3 linked regions of the Mytilus edulis genome follow. The protein of the gene in region 3 interacts with the protein of the main gene of each other region in a pairwise test. Links are inferred from orthologs where the notes say so. Each region holds a gene or a part of one and is shown on either strand. Other genes may lie near its edges.

What was found.
Region 1: the proteins of G-protein-signaling modulator 2-like (region 3) and guanine nucleotide-binding protein G(i) subunit alpha interact in a two-hybrid assay, tested with the Drosophila melanogaster proteins (2 studies listed by BioGRID). The link is inferred for Mytilus edulis from reciprocal best matches to the Drosophila melanogaster genes pins and Galphai.
Region 2: the proteins of G-protein-signaling modulator 2-like (region 3) and guanine nucleotide-binding protein G(o) subunit alpha interact in a two-hybrid assay, tested with the Drosophila melanogaster proteins (3 studies listed by BioGRID, with this or other methods). The link is inferred for Mytilus edulis from reciprocal best matches to the Drosophila melanogaster genes pins and Galphao.

Annotation. Positions count from the first base shown.
Region 1 is NC_092344.1:74,223,312-74,231,133, forward strand, and holds the start of guanine nucleotide-binding protein G(i) subunit alpha, read right to left. Parts: upstream 3,081-7,822; 5' UTR 2,858-3,080; coding exon 2,740-2,857; intron 1-2,739. UniProt on the Drosophila melanogaster protein: Guanine nucleotide-binding proteins (G proteins) are involved as modulators or transducers in various transmembrane signaling systems.
Region 2 is NC_092348.1:39,849,539-39,856,889, reverse strand, and holds the start of guanine nucleotide-binding protein G(o) subunit alpha, read right to left. Parts: upstream 3,106-7,351; 5' UTR 3,043-3,105; coding exon 3,014-3,042; intron 919-3,013; exon of another isoform or gene 870-918; intron 594-869; exon of another isoform or gene 1-593. UniProt on the Drosophila melanogaster protein: Guanine nucleotide-binding proteins (G proteins) are involved as modulators or transducers in various transmembrane signaling systems.
Region 3 is NC_092345.1:1,970,645-1,978,570, reverse strand, and holds the start of G-protein-signaling modulator 2-like, read left to right. Parts: upstream 1-4,886; 5' UTR 4,887-4,996; intron 4,997-7,926. Other genes in the region: pre-mRNA-splicing factor SYF1-like, read right to left, coding at 739-862, 1,273-1,421, 4,534-4,572.

The sequences.
Region 1 (7,822 bases), on a different chromosome or scaffold from region 3:
TGACACCATATATACAACAATCACTTTTCCAATGGATTGCAATGTCATGTGTGGCATCAGATATTTTGTATTGTGACGTCAATATTTCTGGGAACCTGTGTGATGTCCAGTAATTGCAGACAAATAGCAATTAGGTGTACCTTTTGCTTTGATGCCTTATGTTGATAGTTCAAAGCAAAAAAGTGTAATAGCCTTTATGGAGGGTGGTAAAGTGTTATTTCCGTGCAACATGTTTTGCCATTTTTATTAAACGTGCAGCTGTGAAAAACATTCGTTATTCACTGTGTTTCAGGGCTTCCAAAACGGTCATATATTCCGGTCATTTGTATAATGTCTGGTAAAAGTCCGGCTGGGCAAAGCATGAAACGGTCATATACTTTTTAGTTTTCAAGGCTTTTTCAGTCATTTTTACATAATTCACTATCTTTTTGACCCAACCTTTTGCCTTTAACATCAACACATTTCCGATTATATATCATGTAAATGTGACATGATGATTAATTACTATCAAAACAACACCTACTTCAATACTTTCTAATTTTAATCAAGGCTAATTAGTAGTTGGACAGCTGAAATCTACCTGTTCAGGTGACAGGTGAACTATGTTCAGTACCAGACATCGTATAAATTGATCGGTTTATTCACAATTACTTTCTTACATTTCAGCAGTTTGTATCTAATTGATTTAGTCCAAAAGATTAAAATTATTAGAAATTAGTTTATCAACATGATTTGATGAAAAATTTAAAAAGGTTTTAAATGAAAAATCGTCAGAAGTATTTTGTTGAAGAAATAACGTGGAAAGAGCTTCTTCTCTTAGTTGTGCTTTGTAAACGTACACGAATTTTACGTATTCGTTTATGGTCCATGTTTTACCATTGTCAAGTCAACATCCGATTAAAACAATGTGAAAACGAAAGTAAAGTTTTTGACAACGTCATTTTGCACAAATAAAAAGTCTAAGGCAGATATGAGCACGCTATTGTGCATGTTTTGAACGATGCACTGCCAATTTAACAGTTACATCAGTCAGAGATATAACTCTATAGGGTTATTCCAGGAAATAACTTGCGTTTGTTATCACAGATACTTGCACCTTAAATTTTCTAAATCTCTAATAACATATGCTTGTTATTTGTAAAATTATTTCATTTATAGTGGGCTCTAGCTATATATATAGGGAACTCTTGAGACTTTGGCAGAAACTAAATGCATAGTTTTGATAACAAATTTTTTAATTAAATTAATACATTTTTGATGGACCATGGTAAATCAATGAGTCGAGGCTATTAAGGGATAAACTTAGCTGTGATAACAAGGCTTAGTTATTAAAGGAATGTAACTTATTATATAAGACACTTGGGAATTACTGAGAAACTTACACCTTGTAATTAAGCATGATGTATGTCTGAGCAAATGCTTTGAAGTGATATAGAGAAGCTGTGATAACACCCTTTAGTTATTACAGGCATATTTTTTCTGTAATAACATATAGGTGTACTATGCAAAATTGGCAAACTATCAACTGTTATATCTTTAAATAGTTAAGTATACATATAGAAAAAAAGTAATATCAATAGAACTTTTATACATTTTAACTAAACTAATGATGTATATTGTCCCTTTCAGGGATCTCCATGGATGAAAATTGAACGATGGAGGAACTTTCACCATTACAAACTGTGTCTACGCTGTACAGTGTAGCGAGATCGAAAGTATTTTATCCCTCCATACAAGGAACGGTGAACATGCTAAATCATTGCTTATTTAAATTATATTTATTTGAATTTTCATTATAGAATTAGAAGTATCTATATTTTCATTTTTTAACATTTTTGAAGGCTTTGAAACATGTTATCACAGTTCTTTGATTTTTTAGTTCACACTAACAAATGTATGTTATTTTCCTGTAATAACCATATAGAGTTATATCCCTGACTGTACATCAGAACATCAAATTCATATCATATCAAAGTAAAGTTTAAAATCGTTTTTTTTAATGTAATGTAATGTCAATCATTGGAATGGCCATCTGATTACCATAATTGCCTTTTGTGAGTAAGTCTTAAGGGATTAAAATCGGGATCAGATATGAAATGTCCGGCTGGGTCAAATATTTTTTGGAAGCCCTGCCGTGTTTCATGAAATCGGTAAAAAGATCAACGTGCAAGCAATTTTTAATCATTTGTTCATTGTGAAATTTTATTTCCCGTTCTTCCGTGCAGATACCCCCTTCTATATAGGCTTCATAATTATTTGGACATATTTGGCACATTACATTTTAAGAAAAAAGGGGACGTCACATAATTTTTGATGATATAAATACCCTTCTTTCGAAACATTCACAAACATGTTAATGACAGCATAATCCACACTGACCATAGAAATGGTGTATAATTTAAAATATTGTCAACAGTGAGACTATGAACATGATTGCATTTGGTTTACTTACTGTACCAATAGCCAGGGGGAGTTTGAGGGGTTCGGACGAACCCCCCCCCCCCCCCCAAATCAAATAAGCACTGTTCAAGTCAAAGTTTTGTTCAAATTGTGACTGTTAAAGTCGAGTTCGATTTATTCGTGATAATGTATATATTTTAATTTAATGTAGCATCATGTGTTTTACTCTTTTGAGTGTGTACGACGTTAGACTAAGTTGATATGACAAGGCACATGAATTATTCGTCAAAATAGTCATTCGCAACAATCAACCGTTTTCTGTGTTTCATAAATACTTACCTAATAATAACAATTTTACTTCTCTCGCTGCTTTTTCGCCATCTGCACGAAGTGTTTTGTCAATTTGTTTTGATCTTTCCGATGCGGCTTTGTCGTCGGAAGAAGTAGCACACCCCATAGTTTATTTGTAATGTTAATCCAAAAATTACACCATAAATTATATAATAAATCCAATGAACCAAAAATATGTGTGAAAAATGATAAGAAACACCCAAATTTTAAGAAAACTTCCTGTAAATCGTTGACATTTTCATCGGTTGTCTGATGCTTTTTGAATAAACTCCCCGGATGTGGACGGGCACCTTGTCGAGACTTGAACGAGATTAGCTTTTTAACATAATTATATGGACTTTCTCAAAACATGTTTTTTTATGTCTGTTATTTTTATTAGACATGTCTTTTATTTTTCGATCAATAAGTTATATCAGAGACATATTCTGGTTATAAATGGAGACTAGAAAATATTTTTTATTCATTAAATCCGTATCTTTCAAATTTACCTGCAAATTTTAGTATTTCCTCTTTCTGGGACTATTAAACTAACTATAGTCCCAGCTCTTTTTGATATGGCGTCTATCTATGATGGGCATTGATCATTGGAGGGTCATAACTAATTTTCTCGTGTACTAGCAAAAAACTTGTTGAAAATGCTATAATTAAAATTGAAAAAGCGATATTAAATATTGCAAATGCTCTTTTCGATGATGAAAAATTCTCTTTTCAATATTCCAAAAATCATTTAAGCGTAGGTTTTTTCGCGTTTTGTGTAATAAAGCATTTGCGATAAATCATAAGTATTTGCGATGATTAATATAATATTCGCAGTGATAGATACAGCACTCATAATTTGCTTAATCATGCCTACTGAAGTAATAAAAAAACCTTAAAACTTATAATTTTTTGTCACAGGATTTGCTGTCATAATATATACTTTTGAAACCCAAGGTATCAATAGAAATGCAATATATATATATATATCGCTTAATTTAATTTGATCTATGACATTGAACATTTCGTCAATTTTTTTTACTTTATAGTTTCTGCACCTGAGATCACCCCTAGTTTTTGGTGGGGTTCGTGTTGTTTATTCTTTAGTTTTCTATGTTGTGTCGTGTGTACTATTGTTTTTCTGTTTGCCTTTTTTATTTTTAGCCATGGCGTTGTCAGTTTGTTTTAGATTTATGAGTTTGACTGTCCCTTTGGTATCTTTCGTCCCTCTTTTTCTGCCCACGGCTAGCTTCTTCTTAATTCTCCACAAACTGTAGAAAAGCTTACATTTTTATCATGGATCCACTTATAGATCATGCAAAAATGTTTACTTATATATGTGAATAATTATTGATTTAAATCTTTATATTATATTTTGTTATCTTTTGTAGATTTTTATGCCCCACCTACGATTTTAGAGGGGCATTATGTTTTCTGGTCAGTGCGTCCGTTCGTCCGTCCGTTCATCGTACCGTTCGTCCGTTCGTTTGTCCGTCCGTCCCGCTCCAGGTTAAAGTTTTTGTTCGAGGTAGTTTTGTAATGAAGTTGAAGTCCAATCAACTTGAAACTTGGTACACATCATGTTCCATCTGTTATTATCTTTGTAATTTTAATGCCAAAATACATTTTTACCCCAATTTTACGGTCCACTGTACACAGAAAATGATAGTGCAAGTGGGGCATTCGTGTATTATGGGGCATCCGAGTACTATGGACACATTCTTGTTGTTATTGCTTTTACTATGATTGGAACTTTTGTATTTTATAGCCTGCCTACGTGCATATTTTAATTCTTTCCGAAATGGGGAAACCCCTATTTTATTTTAGTTTATATTTGGCATTTCTATGATAAAAAATAATATAACGCGCAACACAGATTACGCAAAAGACTATATATCCTACAAATCTAAACTTACGACATCGCATCAAAATTAAAAAGAACTGCCAAGTTGATATTATCCTTCATAGTTTTTGCAATCTTAGCTTTATTTGGAAAAATTGAACCATAATGGCTACTAAAAGCGAATTATCATGTCACTATATATATTTCACTTTCATTACTGATTAAACGAAAACTTGAAAAATAATACTTTAGGGTTTTCATATATCTCGTAGCTAATGGTCCCTTAAAATGCATATTTAAGAATTGAATGCTTCTTTTTGTAAATTTATTGGGGTGTAAAAGCGTTGACCGAAGTACATTTTGTATGAAGCGCGGAAGCGCTTCATTCTAAAAATGTACGCACGGTCAACGCTTTTACAACCCTATAAAGTTACAAAAAGAAGCATTCAATACTTATAATTACATTTTTTTAGCTATGATCAAGAAAAAACGAATTTTATATTGTTTTTATTTAATTCACCTGTGCACTTTATTGTGGGACCACGTGTTATCATGAATGAAAAGTTTTATTGAGTGATACAATTGCTTACGGAATAACACGTGATGTGCTGTTAGCTAATCAGAATAAAGTATTATAATGAAACATACATCTAATGTAATTATTAGTCAATACTGGGCAATAATTAAAATGATAAATGAAAAATAAATAAATAAAATAGCCTCCACTAGACCAGGGTGAGACGAGAGCAAGGTACGTTCAAAGTGGAAAGGGATCAAGTTAATATAAATTGCAACACTTGTTTCCCAATCCACTATAAATAAATATGTTTAAATTAAATTAAGGTTCGTTCATATATTTTTCATTGTTTTCTCTTCAAAAATGTCTTACAACTACTAGTAAAATAAGACATGATAAATTACTTCAAAAAAGTTTATCTCGTGAGATAGCACGAGACTACCATAACACATAATCTCACATTTTGTTTTACAGCTGAGACTATATGTCTTTCCTTTTTTAATGTGTTATAGTAGTTTCGGGTCGTCCGTGTAAATTAAGTTCGGAAACTACTTTTCGAGACATATATAATTATATAAATACCCATCAAACTAGGTGAACATTTCAACACGGTAAAGAAACCACATAATATTGGAGGAAAATTGTCTTAAACTTGTCTTAAAATCGTCTTGTGTCCAATTTCATTCCATAGATCTTTATTATTTTAACGGTCTAAGTTAATATTTGTTACTTAGAAAACCTCTTTGAATTATGTATGTTGTAAAAACGAAGTCTGTGACAATATTATAATTTAATTCATTTTAAATGGAAATTTATTTATCAACAACATAGAGCTTTCAAATAGAAATGAGATTAGAGATTTGAGGATATTCCAATAAATGCATCTGTCCCAGCGTTGATATTATATTTCCTTGGCGGGTTTCATCTAATGAAGGGCGTATGTTAGTTATACGTCCCGGCTTGATCTAATGAATTAGATAGCATATATGACATATATCATTATTTCATATCCGTTGAGAATAAGATTCTCTTATTGGATTAAAAGAGGTCACATGACATTCATTATTCTTCAGTAATAAATTCCATCGGTCATTAACAGAAAAAAACGGACCAGAAAACCGGTCGTTAACGAACTTTTACATGATAATGACCGGTGGGGCGTGGTTTCCGTCTGATAATGACCGTTGGGGCGTGGTTTTCGTCTGATAATGACCACTGGGGCGTGATTTCTCTGTTAATGACCGGTGGGGCGTGGTTTCTCTGTTTAGAGAGATGTACCTTTTATAAAACATTTTCCTGTTTTTAATATTATATTTAGGTTGTTGAATTATTTATTATATGTTTTCGTTAATTATAAAATTCAAGATAACTTGATTAAGTATTTATATACTGAAAAATTGCACTAAAATGAATGGCAGTATTACTACGACTGGTCTTCACTGTTTGCCATAGAAATCGTGCAACTACTCGAGTTCGCTGTAGGCATTTTTAATTTATGAGAATTTTCCAAAACATGGTTTCTCAATGAAATAAACATACTAGTTCTTAAAAAAATAGTCATTATCGTGATACATGGACTGCCCGTAGGACAGTCCATGTATCACGATAATAACCAATTTTTCAAGAACTATTATATAAATAAATATTCTTCATAGGTCCACTTTTTATCGTCTAACTTTGCTTATTATTTTAAAATTCATATACATTTATCTATTACAAGATATTTCTCTCTCTCATCATTACCACTTTGTCATATTTTTAATTTAAGTATCAAAAAATGTATTTTTCCATCTTCATTTAAACTGGCAAAGTCATACCAGTTTATAAGAACAAAGGCTCAAAACAAGATGTTTTTTAATTACAGACCAATTGTAATTTTACCACTCATTTCTAAAATCCTTGAAAAACATGTGAAAACACACTTAGTAAAATATCTTAATAAACACAACTTATTGTATAGAATGCAGTCAGGCTTTCGTGCAAATCATTCTTGTCAAACTGCGTTAACAGCTTTAATAGATAAGTGGCTTAAAGCCATTGATGATGGCGATCTTGTTGGGGCAGTTTTTCTAGATCTAGCAAAAGCCTTTGATCTTCTCAATCATGAACTGCTTATTCAAAAATTAAACAAAATTAATACAAATTTGCTTATACTTCATTACGCTGGTTTACATAATATTTGGCTGACAGATATCAGAAAGTATCTATTTCAAATCAGTGACATTATCAGACGTACAAAAACAAAAAACGGGTGTACCTCAAGGATCCGTATGAGGACCGGTGTTGTTTTTAATTTTATTAATGATCTTCCTTTGTCTAATCCTAATCATAACACCGATGTATTTGCTGATGATAGCACCATATCAGTCATTGGTTAAAACAAAAGTTGCATCAGTCAAAAACTTAATACGGTTTTACAAGATATTTTTCGCTGGTGTGAGGACAATAAAATGGCTGTAAATGTATCTAAAACAAAAGCTATATGCATTGGATCTAAACAAAAGCTTTCCGTTACATCAAATGAAAACATTAATCTTGCTTTAAATGGACAACAAATTATAGAAAGTACATGTGAAAAGGTTCTAGGTATTTTTATTTATGCATCTCTTTCTTGGTCTTCTCATATCGATTCTATAATAAAAAACAGTTAACTCTTCTTTAGCTTTACTAAAAAGGATAAAGAAATATTTAAATCACAAAGCTAGACAAATGTACTATAACGCTTACGTTTTACC
Region 2 (7,351 bases), on a different chromosome or scaffold from region 3:
ATATTTCATCAACAAAATGGCTACCCATATACCGGTTTCATAGATGCAAACAAGCCACACGACAAAGCCTGTTTAAATATGCGGCAACTTGCTACCATCCAATGTAAAAATCGATCGCTTCGTTGTGCAGATATCTTTTCTGTTATGGGGGTTACTAAGTGACGTCAGTCCGCGCACGGGCTTTTAATACATTAATCCGCAGCCTCCGTTGCTAAAAATGCATAAAAATCAATGTCAACTTTTTGTCTTTAAACTGTTAATCGAATATTAAACACGCGTTTCTTCAGTATACCTTGGAAATCTTGTAGCATACAAAATGAATTGTCTGTAGATAACATCAGCAGACGAACACAGGTAGCTGATGATGCTGATTGGGCGGTGCCACTGCCTGTGAAATCAATTTTCTAAGGCGATGTCTATTTATGCGTACATTTTCACGTGTAAATATATGGAAAACTTAATGAGAGAAAAATGTTATGTCTCTACAGCTGGTGGAAATAATTTAATTGTGTGTTTGGTCATTAAAACTAGTTGACAGATGCCGCAGATCGATAAGTTTAATAAATGTAGAACTAACGCCACCTGGTGTTAAATGCAATCTACTAATTGATGAATGAACACAATACATGAATGGATAATTAATAAAAAGGTGTGACTATCGCATTTGATCTGACAGAAAATTAGTTAATTATAAGAATTTTGTTTTTAAAATCGTAATGTTTTAACACTCAATTTAACTTTCCATAATTTGGAAGGTCGCATATAAGTAAAAGTAAGTATACTGAGTATATACCACAGCAGTGGTAAGAAACGCTTAGGCGACAGTAAGCCTTATTATGCCTTATTTGGAATAAAGTATTGTACTCTACCAGTTAAAGTGACATACAATCCTCCTTATTAACTATTAAAAACTAAGTTTTTCTGAAATAACGAGGACACACAGGTATACGTAACAAAAGATATATTTCCTTATTTATAAATCTAAAAATAGGTCCCTAAAAACGAGAGATCTTTGACGCAATTATAGAGAAAACTCACATTTGGCATTTTGAAATTTCGTACTCGGATCAGAAAGACGCATCAAATTTACGGTACCTCGAATTAGGTAAGATTCCCACGAGCCTTTGATTTACAAACAAGCTATATTTTCATGTAAATATAGAAATGTTTAACGTCAATAAATATATTGATAAAAACCTACTTATCCTTGGGAATGTTTGGACCCATGGCCAGATGATACACATATTTGACAGAAAACTGGAAAGGATAAAAAGAAGAGTAATGCATGCAGTTTTATAAAATATTAATCTGTACTGACCCACAAAGTAGTTGTTTTTTGTTGTTGTATTAAATTCTTACATTTTAAGGGTGCATTTTAAAATGTCAATAAATGAACGCAAATTTTTAGTGTAGAAAAAATATAAAAACTAAGAATATTAAAGTATAAAAAACAAAACCTTTAAGGCAAGATTTCATAAGATTAATCAAGAATTTTGATGCTATGCAACAAACAATGTTAAAAGATATTTTTCTATTTAAATATTCTATATTATAAAATTTAGAAATTATTCTAAATTAAGAAATGTATCTCCCCAGGGGCGGATGCAGGAATTTTCGAAAGGGGGGGGGGTGCTAACCCAGGGCAAAGGGGGGTGCAGGGGGTGCAAAACATATGTCCCGATACAAATGCATTGATCGGCAAAAATAAAGGGGGTGCGCACCCCCAGAACCCCCCCCCCCCCTGGATCCGCCACTGCTCCCTCATACTTGTCCAGTTTTTGCAATACTTTTGTATTGGGTTTTGGACTTTTAAAATAATATGGCATCGAGTATCAACGAAGAGACATTAATTTTCGAAATGTGCATCTGGTGCAATAAAAATTGGGACTGTTAATGTTATTTTTCCGTGACAATAGCCATGTTTCCCTAAAATTTCATTACATCATCAACAAACTAACATGAAATGAATATATGGGAATCTTAAGATATTGTCGTGGCAAAACTAATTTTATGCTTATAGATATTTTAAATATGTCTTGATATCCTTAAATAACAGGCTTAACCACAGATTTAATTCGTTTGCAACCATGCTAACACTGTTCATTAAATGTAAAATTAATGAAGGGGAAAGAAATGTTTATTTTGATGTAATATAAAATTAAAACTGGAGTTTTATTACCTACAAACAATTGATATAAGATATGTTTCCATTTAACATAATTTTGAAATTCCAATGGCAATAGATAAAATGTAAACCATGCAAACACATTCAAACACATTCAAAACTGATAAATGTACTGATCACAACTTGACGCCGACGCTACCGGAAAGTACCGACCTGAATAAAACTGAATTTTGAACCAGTCAACACAATTTTCAAGCAAATAATCTTTTAACTGATTTAGTAATAGTTGCTTAACATTTTAAGCTGATATTAAATATTGTATGCGTATTTAGGACGTTTACATGTTATTCACATACAACACGGTTGTCTTGCACTTTAGTTAAAGGTGACAGTTTGCAGAAAGACCAGGTATCCTAAACTGACACCCAGATATTCCCTCTTCTGTGTCCTTTGCAAAGCGGAGAGTCATTATTTAAACTGTTGTCCCCTTTAACGTCCATCATAGAATGGCCAGGACCACATCATTAAATAATAGATTGACTTTTCAGTCATTTTCGGGTATATGCGATTGTTTAGTTTAGTAATTTCGAATAAGGTGCTGTACACCTATATATGCATGGTATTTGGTAAACCCGTATTCTTTATTTGATTGATTCCAGACTATCTTCATGACTAAGGCAACTGTATATAGGGTAGGCGCTTAAATTATGTATAACGATTCTGTTCACACCCGGGATCAGACCCATGACCTCCCGCACTCGAGGTGAGCGCGCTACCGAGGCGGTTAAAAGACTCCCCCTTAAAAACATCCAATTTATTGATTGGTGTCTGGGCATATTTTTTTTATCCTTTTTATATGATATTTATGATACAAAGACTGATACAAACCTACCACTGATCTCTAATGCCCTGTTCATTTTCTTCTATTAAATTAGCACAGACAATTTACTAGCTTGATTTGATGTATTGTGGACATGAAAACTACTCACTTATAGGTGTCCGTACCTGTTGAAAAGATCTAAATACGTAAGCGAAAGTTTTATTTTGATTCGGTTCACATATAACAATGCATCTTATCTTTCTGCTATTATAAATTTTAAAAAATTATCATCAAAGAATAAAAAATAAGCCGGGTCTATCATCTTATATGGATTGATTGATGAATTGATATTTGCTTTACGTCAAGTGGCAAATATTTCGTGCATATTTATGACTAGAACACATTAATGCAATACTGGTAACATCTGCAAAATATCGGGTCGACAAGATAAATATTTTGTTTGTTTTCAGCTAAACGTCCAGTGGAAAATATTACATGCATGTTCAGGACGAGCACAAATCATCAAAATAACAATATGTACGTCCTAAAATAGGATGTCTACCGGGTAAAATGCGTGAAATTTTAATTGTCTGGATAATGTGAGTATCTTGGATAGGGACAGACATTTGCCTTGTAGCAGATTGCCAACGGACCCCACAAAGAGTAAACACCTTAGTCCTTTTGGGATTCGGAGTCCTGAGCAATGTTCAGCAATGGCTGCAATGAACATTACATTGAACAACAAATCGGAGGACTTAACTTGTTTGTATTGGGGATACCTAAGCTTCACAAAATTCCGTACAAACAACGGTACATTGCCGGCTCACCTGCATGTTCCACTAAATAATTGTCCATTTAAATTCTGTCTGCAGTGAAAGAGGGTCTTTGAAATACCGTGAAACTGCTTTCTCGCGTAGTGGTATTAACCATATGTGGATTCTTAAAGTGTTTGTTAACAGTGAACAAACGGGTAAAATATGCTACACAGAAGAACAAGTTTTTTTTTATCGACAACATATTTGTTGAATTTAGAGGTAGACTTTTTCTACAAATAGTCGACATTCCCATAGGAACGACTTGTGCGCCTCTCCATGTCGACCTCTTCTTGTTTTCATATGAATCGGAGTTCCTTCAAACACATGTCAAAAACCAGACCCAAGAAGCCAGATTATCTAATTTCACTTTCAGATATATTGATGATGTTCTTTCCATTAACCATCCGAACTTTTCTGATTGGGTTCCATTAATATATCCCCCAGAACTAGAAATTAAAGAAACAACAGACACGGCCTCCTCCGCCTCATTTTTAGACTTGTACCTCGAATTTTACATACACAGTCATCTCAGTATTAGAATCTATGACAAACGAAACGATTTTTAATTTTGAAATTATCAATTTCCCCCACCATAGTAGCAATATACCAACTCCATCTGCATATGGGATATACATTTTCCAACTTATTCATTCGATATTCAAGAGCATGTTGCTCCGACTCAGACTTTGTAAAACATCACCAGTGTCTGAACAGAAAGTCATATAGTGATTAACCAGGGGTGCGCCAAAGAACGTTTCGTCCTTTTTCTAAAAAAAAAAGTTCATCGGAAGGTACCAAGACCTAGTTGATAAATATTCCGAATAAACTTCACACATAATACATGATGGTCTAGGTGTGTAGATTTTAGGTACTGACGTTGTTTATCATCTTAATAACGTGTTAAATTGTTGTTTTAGATGTCCTTGTTCTATTATTAATATCAGTTTTACAGTTTGGTTGGTTTTGGTGATATTCATTTTACGTGACTCGGTACTTATGCATCCATCCCGTCAATGTATTGTTTGTATTGTCTTTCATTTTTGCTGGTGTACTTTGTACGTTTAACTTTTTGTGTTTCTTTGGTACATACGACGTGGCTCTGTACTTTTAAACATCCCGCCATTATGTTATTGTTCTATTATAATTTTGAAAAAAACTTTGAACGACAAAAATATTTTGTATCTCTAACTGTGTGACGTTTACATTCTGACGTATAACACGCGATTCTACACCAGAGTTGATGTAAACCTAGCCATTCAGTCACAGGTCTTCGAATACTTCAATGTTCATGGGTTGATTTAAAATACAAAAATAAGTAAGCAATTAACGTGGTTGTGAATTTGATATATGCTTTTTTGTGCTTCTTTGTTAAATATTTGTTTGTTTTTGTTCTGATTTAGATTGTGACACGGTGATAACTGCTGTACCCCTATTTTGACAATTTTACCTATAATGTCTGTTTTGTTCACGCATTGTTGTAAATATAATGGAATTTGATGCGACTGTCAAACAAGTGAGAGGGTTAGCGGTATAAAACTAGGTTCAATCCACTATTTTAGTCTACATGTGAAAATGCCTGTACCAAGTCAGGAATATGAGTTATTGTCCATTCGTTTGATGTGTTTTATCATTTGATTTTTCTAATTGATTAGGGTCTTTCCGTTTTGAATTTTCCTCGGAGTTCAGTATTTTTGGGATTATATTTTTGCCTAGAAAAATCGCTCCGGACTCATAGAGTTGCTGCAAGAGTATTTAGAGTGCAGATTGCGCGACACTCGATGTATTCGATTTAACGTCCCCAAGTTCTGACCGGACGTAGGTTCGAATTTATTAATCCCACAAAGCCAACCGAAAGTCCAACTTTAACAAGCGTTTTACTAACTATCTGAAGAGGAACACAGAAAAATCATTTTTTCTACACATTCAACCCCTTTGGGTCCCGGATAAACGTCGAGGATGTCGCCTGCCACTGTAATATATGCACATTTATTGGAAAGGGGTATTGATGTCGCCTTTCAACGAGTTATTTGCTGACCCCTCAAAGGCATTGCACATTCCCATCAAGAACCATAGGATTAAGCATCCCCATTCAAACCAGACGTGGCTTTTCTCATCACTTGGCGTCCGTCGTCGTGAACTTTTACTAAAACCTTCTCCTCTGAAACTACTGGGCCAAATTTAACAAAACTTCGCCACAATCATCATTGGGGTATCTAGTTTTAAAAATGTGCCCTATGACCCGACAAACCAACCAAGATGGCCGCCATGGCTAAACATAGAACATAGGGGTAAAAATAATGTAGATTTTGGCTTATACATGTATCTCTGATAACAAAGCATTTAAAGCAAATCTGACATGGGGATATTGGGAATAAACTCATCATAGATACCAGGACTATTTTTTTTATATACACCAGACGCGCGTTTCGTCTACAAAAGACTCATCAGTGACGCTCGAATGCAAAAAAGTGAAAAAGGCCAAATAAAGTACGAAATTGAAGAGCATTGAAGACCAAAATTCCTAAAAGTTTTCCCAAATCCATGGGATAAATTGTTTAACAGGTTAAGATCTATTTGCCTTGAAATTTTCAGATGAATCAGACAACCTGTTGTTAGGTTGCTGCCCTTAAATTGGTAACTTTAAGGGAATTTTGCCGTTTTTGGTCATTATCTTGAATATTATTATAGATACAGATGAACTGTAAACAGCAATAATGTTCAGCTAAGTAAAATCTATAAATAAGTTAACTTGATCAAAATGGTCAGTTAACCTTTTAAGGAGTTATTGCCCTCTATAGTCATTTTTAAACAATTTGTCGTAAATTTTTGTAATCTTTTTCAAAAATCTTCTTCTCTGAAACTTTTAAGACAAATTTAACCAAACTTGTCCACAATCATCATTAGGTTGTCTAGTTTAAAAATTGTGTTTGATGACCCCGCCCCTGTACCAAGATGGCCGACATGGCTAAAAATAGTAGAAAGGGTAAAATGCAGTTTGAAACCAAAGCATTTAGAGAAAATCTGATAGGATAAAATTGTTCATTAGGTTAAGATCTATCTATCCTACAATTTTCAGACCATTCAGGCAACCCGTTGTTGAGATGCTGTCCCTGAATTGGTAATTTTAAGAAAATTTTGCAGCTTTTGGTTATTATCTTCAATATTATTATAGTTACAGATATACTGTAAACAGCAATAATGTACAGCAAAGTAAGACCTAAAAATAAGTCAACATGACCAAAATGGTCAATTGACCCCATACGGAGTTATTGCCCTTTTAACAATTTTCATAAATTTTGTAAATTTTTTACAAAATATTATCTACTGTAACTACTGGGCCTTGTCATTATAGATAATTGAAAGCAGCAAGAATGTTCAGTAAAGTAAGATCTACAAATGCATGCAGCGGATTACAAGCATTTAACAAGCAAACATTCTTAAACTAATAACTAGTCATATACTCATGCAGGAAGACCAGTCACAGTACTTTTTATTTACTCTTTACTTTGAACTGCATGCTAACGTGGGGCGACCGTATAAAAGTGCGAATGTACAAGTACCCAGCCACGTATGGCCAGAATACGATGCTCC
Region 3 (7,926 bases):
TCAATTATTGGTTGTTAAAAGTAAAATCACAAAAATACTGAGCTCCGAGGAAAATTCAAAATAGAAAGTCCCTAATCAAATGGCAAAATCAAAAGCTCAAACCCATCAAACGAATGGATAACAGCTTTCACATACTTTCACATACCCGACTTGGTACAGGCATTTTCTTAAGTTAAAAAATGGTGGATTTAAAGCTAGCTAAACCTCTCACATAAAATGTTTGCATGGTGTTGCATTCAGTAATTATCAAAAAATAAACTTCTTTGTTATTCTAATTTCATTGGCTCAATTTTACGTAGCGATTTCAGGCATTTTGTTAAATGTCTATCAATTTTTCTAGACATTTTATAAAATGCTGTAAACTATTTGTTAATTCATAAACATGATAAAAGCCTGAATCATACATGGAGACATTTTCCCCCTGGCATTTCACTAAATGCCCAAATTCATAAAATGCCAGTAACATATAGATTCTTACAATGATATCAATAGATTATCAGATTTATCTAATCGAGATAGTTAAATTATCAATTTTAAAGTCAAACCCTGGCGAGGACTTTAAAATTTATAATTTAACTATCAAGATTGGATATATCCAATAATCCACAAGTAACTATGTAAGAATCTTTCTCTTCAACGTTTAATAAAATAATTTTTATTTTTTGTTAAAGAAAATCCTCTTTGAGGATCTTCCACATTCAATACAGTTGTCAATTTCATTAACACCAGTTAGCATACCTTATGCATGAACACTAGCGCCCTCTCGTGGGCATTGCATACATCCTCTACGGCTGGGTCATTTATACACTTCCCTTTCACTTGTCGTCTCCGTAGTTTTAAATAATTGTACCATAATTTGTAGCTGCAATGTAAATAAACAAAGGTAGTCATAAAGGGTCATACAAATATATGAAAACAAATTACATGAAGAGTATACAGTACATGTCAAATTGTCCATTTACAGTTGTTTCTCAGTAACAAAATATCACAAGAGACTGTTACAACTGAAGTTTTCTTAAGAGGTCTAATAAGTTGAAGTCTTGCTTAGAGATTATGTACTTTTTTTTTAATAATTTTTAAGTAGATGAACAACATAATTTATTCACTCTTTTTGCTAACGAAAATATATCAAACTTCTTATTGAGAAATCAACCATCAAATTAGCTAAAAACATGAATGAAAAAATTGCCTGTTATCCAAAATGATTTGGGTATGAAGTAAGATATATAAGTAATTAGTAATTAATGATATTATTAATTGTTAATCATTTACCTTCCTGGCAATTCTTTCAGAGCTCTTTCATATATCATATTAACAACATTTCTTGAAGCTAGTTTCTTAAACTCTAAGTAACGAAGCCAACATTTAACAGAATATGGGTTTCGTAAAATATCTTCTTCATATGGTAGATCATCTTCTTCCTAGAAAAAAAACCAAACTAAAACATTTGCAATTTTTGATATTATATTATCAGTCAGGGGACTTACTTAAATAAGTGATTTTCTAAATCACTGGTTCAAGTAACATTATTTCCATAAAGGTTGGAAGCAAGAGTTGTCTTTCTTTAATAATCACCTATTTAAGTAGTACAAATTTATCACTAGACTAAGTGATTTAATTTCATTGTAGCTTTAAATATAGAATACTAATGATCCAGGGACTAATTATGTTTCTAAACTTATCAGAACAATCATCTGTGCTGTCTAGGATGATCAGGTCATTTCAGGTGATGACCTTGTACTGAATCTAGGATAATGACATAAAAATCATCTGTTTAAGTATCATACCTCAATTTTCTTCCAAAATATCATATTTTGATAACCCCCACTAATTTCAACACCTCTGAACAGTGAAATTTTTATCGCGAACAGTAGAATTTTATTACATAATCTGAAAGATGAAACCTTGAACTTTACAGGAAAAATACTCCCACTGCTGGGGAAAATCTGTTTAGAAAGTATCAGTTCATTATTTAAAGCCGTCATTATAGCATTTTTTCAACTAAAATAGAATTTGCAACTAAATGATAGCATCAAAGGCATAAACCTTGCTACTAAAAAGAAGCAAAAAATTCATGTTTTTCAATTTTACTAATGAAAAGATATTATTTAAACCTATGTGTTAAAAATTTTGGTAAAACTACAAAATCACACAAAATTTTGAATTTGCTACTCAAATAAGTGATTTAAAAATCACTTTTTTGAATAAGTCCCCTGACTGATTATTTTCTTTGCTATAATTCAATTCAAGCTATTTCCCTTTTTGAAAAGACTTTGAAAATCTTTGAAAATCTGAAATAGTCCATTTGCCAATTTTTTATTCTGTTATTACACACCTTTTTGTATATATATTGTGTAAATGTATGCCTATCGTTGTGTCTGTTATAAAAGCTTTAACACATTCGTGTGATGAGTCAACCAACTCTTTACGGATTACCCATGTAGATGTAGATGTCAAGGCCGTAGCGCCTGTCTATTTAAAGTGAGGCAAATCGCCTAGCGGAGCGAGGTGACCAATTTTTTTGCCTTTTTTTAAGGGGCATTCTGGGTGCCTGAAACGGGAGAAGCTTATTTCAGCATTACTATTTAAAATAAAAAAACAAAAAAAAAATAACAAAAATGCGGGTTTGTTTTATATTAGCTAGCCTAGTGAGTAACAAAACAAGTTTCATATTAAAGTTAATCTATGTTGGTCAATCAAAACTTTCCGATTCTCCTGTGACCTGTACTATCGAAAAGCTTCAACACACGTTCTTATGTATATATATTTATTTATGTCCAACAGCAAGTTATAAGCTTCTTAAAGACTAGAACATGTTATAAGCATCAATTAGGATATATTTATTATACATAATCATTAACCATAAGAATAGGTAGAGAAGACTAGATCAATATTGTTACTTAACCGGATTTTTGACGTTCTAATGTCACAAGTGATCACAAGTTATCTGTAAACATTCCGCTGGAAGACATATCAACCTACATGTACATTTTTACCTGGCCACATTATTCTACCAATTTATAAGTCATTGGTTTGACCTACCGGGGTTTGAACCCACGACCTACCGCAGTAGCACGCTAGCAAACAACAAGACAATGCTGATCATAATCAGAAAAAGAACCACAAAAAAAATATTTTCAAACAATACCAAAAATATATTTCATACTTTTATTAAAGATAAATAAAAATCATGAACTGCCTTATTCATTAAAGACTTCCATAGAAAACGCGCTTCATGATTTTGTTTAAATTAATTATAAATAATTATTATTTTTTTGGTCAATGAATTATTTTATCGATTAACATTTAACAGGCTATTATTTGAACTTGGAATTATTTTTAATTATGGAATTTGCTTGATATCTTGTTATTGAATTTTTTTATAAATTCCATGTTTATTCTGTACTGAAATGCTCTGTGCTGCGCACAACACTTTCTATTACAAAGAAAATACTATATTTTCAATAGAATGTACTGTGCCGCGCACAACACTATCTAACCAAAATACATTGTATGGAAAGTTTTATTAACCGCTAAAAAGATTTTAATACCACATTAACATGGAATTTATTAAAAATTTTAAACACAAGAAATTATGCAAATTCCATAATTAAAAATAATTCCAAGTTCAAATAATAGCCTGTTATTTGTTGTTCAGTGAGTTGATAGTGTAAACATTAGCAACTATAGCTTTATCAATTTAAAAATAAACCAAGTAATAAGCCAGCATACTTATAGGGGGTGTTTATACTCATGAGTTACCCTTTTAATCTTTTTTTCTCTTTAAAGAACCCGTCTTCCAACAGTTTTGTAACGACATTAAAATTTGTTTCAAATTTTTTATTTTGATTTGTATTCGGAACATTTATTTTTTTTACCGTCACCTCTATGGTAAAAGCTGCAATCGCTGCTGCCGATTAGACACACTGTATGTAGTGTGCCAGTAGATAATTTGTAACTCGAAACTCGCATATTGATAATGTAAAATACATAATTTAAAAAAAAAGACACTTCTAAAGTGTGGTCGTCGTTTCAAAAGTGCCAACAACCGCTTGTATGGGGACGAAGTCCCCAATAACAGTAGAAAATTCAATAAAAATTTTTTCATTGTACTAATGAACTCAAAATCGTTCAAATTTTTTTGTCGTGTTTTGAAATCCCGAACCTGCGCAGAAATGTACTTCCTTTTTCCGGTCTCGTTTGTATGAAACTTTAAGTAAAATATATATTTATCAGTCTAGTATAAAATAGGAAGGAACGCGCAATACCAATTTCATTTTTAATAATTCCTTGATATGAAAAAACGTTACCTGATGATAGCGTTTCTTTGTTTACATTGCATATGACGTCATAATTTAAATAACGTCACAACTAAAATCCCTAACAACAGAACCAAAATCGGAAACGTTACGGTATTTCCGTTTCTTTTTTTTAACAAATATTTAAGTTACAAAAAAACAATTCATACAGACTTCGTCCCCATTTCAGTACAGGTAATGCCTGCCTCATATTAACTTGAAAAGGGTTATTTACAAAGAAAATATCTTTCTGTTTTTCCATCAGTACTGGCATCCTTTCTTTTAATGTCTTAAGTTGAATAATATTTTCTCAGTATTTCTTTTCTTTTAGTTTTAAGTTTTCATGGGCGCTGACATATTGGATCGTATAAAATGCGTTGTGTGAAATTTTAAAGGGGTGTATCAATTTGTGAGGCAAAATATTTAAAAAAAAATATCGAGACCAAATTGATATACAAGCAAATATTTGTTTAATAATGAAAACAAACTGTATCTTACAATTACATTTTCCTAATTCTAAAGATAAGCATCAAAATTAAGAATTTAATATAGGAACCTAGCCCCCCTTAGTATCATATGGAATATCCCATCTACATTAATCTCGTTTGTTACGAGAAATGATTAAACTTCCCTCCATCTAAACAATTCTGGAAAAAAAGACTAAGAGGATTAGGAGATTGTCGGTAAAAATATAAATGGTAGGTATTTAGGTGTTGTCATTCCCAAATTGTAGATGTCTTTGTTTTTTATGTGTGTCACAATTTGACAGTTACGCTTCATTATAGTATATTTAATTTATAGATCAATATATATTGCAATTGATATTTTTGTCTGTTTTTTTTTGTGAAATTGAAATCCAAATTTGCATACAGCTGCATTTTGATATCTGTGGGTTACAGTGATGATTGGCCCTATTGACAGAACAATGAAAGAACCAAAATAAAAAAAAAATATGCTAATAACAAATTTGAAACATTGTGAAATATAATGATAATAAGATTCTCTCATAATTTTATACTTGAGAAAAAAATATAGAAGAAAAAAATAAATACATGCTTTTGAAAAAACATGACCTGACCAAAGCCGACAATAGAAATATTTACACTCATATACTAATTTGTCCCCCATTATGTTCCGTAACTTTGACATCACAATTCAAAAGATTTGACGTCAAAATGTAATTTGGAGCAGATCTAAGCTTAATAAGCTTAAGCAGATCAGAGCACCTGAGATCACCCCTAGTTTTTGGAAAATGACGCAGTCATTGTTCCATTACTGGCGACCTGAACTTCATTGCATTTCTCTGCCTACCGCGCTTGGTTTCGTATTTACTATTTTCTATACAAACTGGAATTTGCTTGTGTTATCATTATGCATGAGAGGTCATTGTGTAGTAATCAGCCAGGAACCAGTTTACAAACTAACTGGTTTCTGCTTGTATTCCACTACACTCGAACAAAGTGTTGTAGTTTGACGGGAACCAGTTTAGAATTTGTAAACTACAAAACGTAATCGGTTATTGTTCATTCCGTTTTGGTGTTTCATACCGACTTTTATGGTTTGAATAAGCTTAAGACCCTTCAAACATTAATGTGATAGGTATATTAAAGACTGTTTTACAAAAGGATGGAACTGTTTTGCTTTCAAATCGTACTATAGTGATATCTGTTATGTACGGATTTCCACTCTCACCGGTTAATTTCTTCTTTTACACGTGCTTTTGAAACTTCCTGTTTAAACATCGCAAGTTTTAAAATTGTTTTTTGAGTGAATTTAACTTATTTTAACAATCATGAAGCGTTCCAGAATCATTTTCAAGCAGTTTCTTCTTCTCTTTGATGATGGAAAATATGTTTTTCTCAAGAAAATACCGCAAACGATCGCAGAGGAATTGAAACGTACAAGTCAAGTCGGCACCTGGTTAAATTGGCATCTAGTCAAATCGGCACCTATTTGACGTCAATTCGGCATCCAATAATATTTGTTATAATATTTTCTATTCAATTAATTAATAACTGTTACCAAGTACATAGTGAATATGTTGTTGTGAAGTTAGGTAAACAACGAAACCAAAGTGAAATTATGTTGTTGTGTATAAAGGTAAACAACGAAGCCCTTACCCAAGCTGTTGTTTTAACAATTAGACAATTATTAAAATAAAATGGAAAACTATGAGTCCCTTTCAATAAATCAAACTTTCATGCCAAATAATAAGCAAATTTAAGGTGTTTTTTTTCTTCAGTAAAGTTTAAAAAGCATTAAACAAACAATCCTGTAAAATGCTCAACTGGTTTAAATAATGCATAAAAATATCCAATATCTCATGTATTAGTCCAAATAATTATGACGTCTGGCAAGGCTATTTTATTTTTTTTCTGTGATGTCTTCCTACGAAGTTCGTAGGAAGGCGTCCCAGAAAAAAATTAACATAGCCTTGCGGTCATAGAAAGGTGTCCCAGAATAAAATTAAAAAAGCCTTGCCAGACGTAATAATTATTTTGACTACTCATATATATATCATTAAAAATACACCAAAAAAGTCATTAAGTTGAGAAAAATAAATATATACAAAATGTACATGAACACCCAAAAATGTGAAAGTTAGTATTTAACTCTTTTTGCTTAAATACTGAAAAAAATTCTGGCAACCCCTTACTTATTTTTACTCTTTTTGCTTAAAATACTGTTAAAATTTATATTTAACATGGGTGACGAATTGACTATATCAGGTGTGGATTTAACCAGGTGCTGATTTGTCCAGGTGCCAATTTAACCAGGTGCCGGTTTGACTAGAATTCTTTGACAAATGTTTGAAATTACCTGAGTTTCATAAGACCTTTGATAACAGTAACAAAAAGATTATTTACTTAATATTTTGTGGGAGAAGGGGGTTCAGACTATGTGGTATCATGTCTGTTCCCGCCCAATACACTTTCGCACCCTACACGTTCGCACCTCGCACGTTCGCACCCAAGGTCCGTTTGCACTCTACTCATTCGCGCCCAATTTTAATTCAAATTCAAGTTGAATAATTGGAAAATCATGATTGTTGTTTTAAATTGCTTTGGTGTTAATACTGAATGTATTTATAGCTTGGTATGAGTAAAACATTGAAGATTTTAAAGGAAAAACACAAAAGATAATTGTTTTTAACAGCTTGGTCCCTTTGATCTGAAACAACGAAACAATAAAATATAGGAACCAAAATATAGCAATCCACTATTATAACCAAAACAAAGCAACCAAAACATGATTAAGAGTAATTCAACACAAAATAAAACGTTGACAAAATACCACTTTATTTAGAAAGGATTATTATAATTTTTAACAATACGCTATCTAAAACATGATTAAGATTTATTCAACACAAAAAAAAATGCTGTCTCACTTTATTTTGAGACAATGACAACAATTATACTTATAAGAAAACACTTGCTTACAGAGTTATTAAACACAAAACCAATTAAGATTGGGTGCGAACATGTAGGGTGTGAAAGTGAAAGGGGCGAACATGAGTGGGCGCGAACGGACCCGGATTCAGACTATGTACCAGTGAGAAATATACAAGCCTTTCTACGGTATTTATTTGTACAATTCAGGTAGTCTTGACCTATTCATTTGTCTTAAA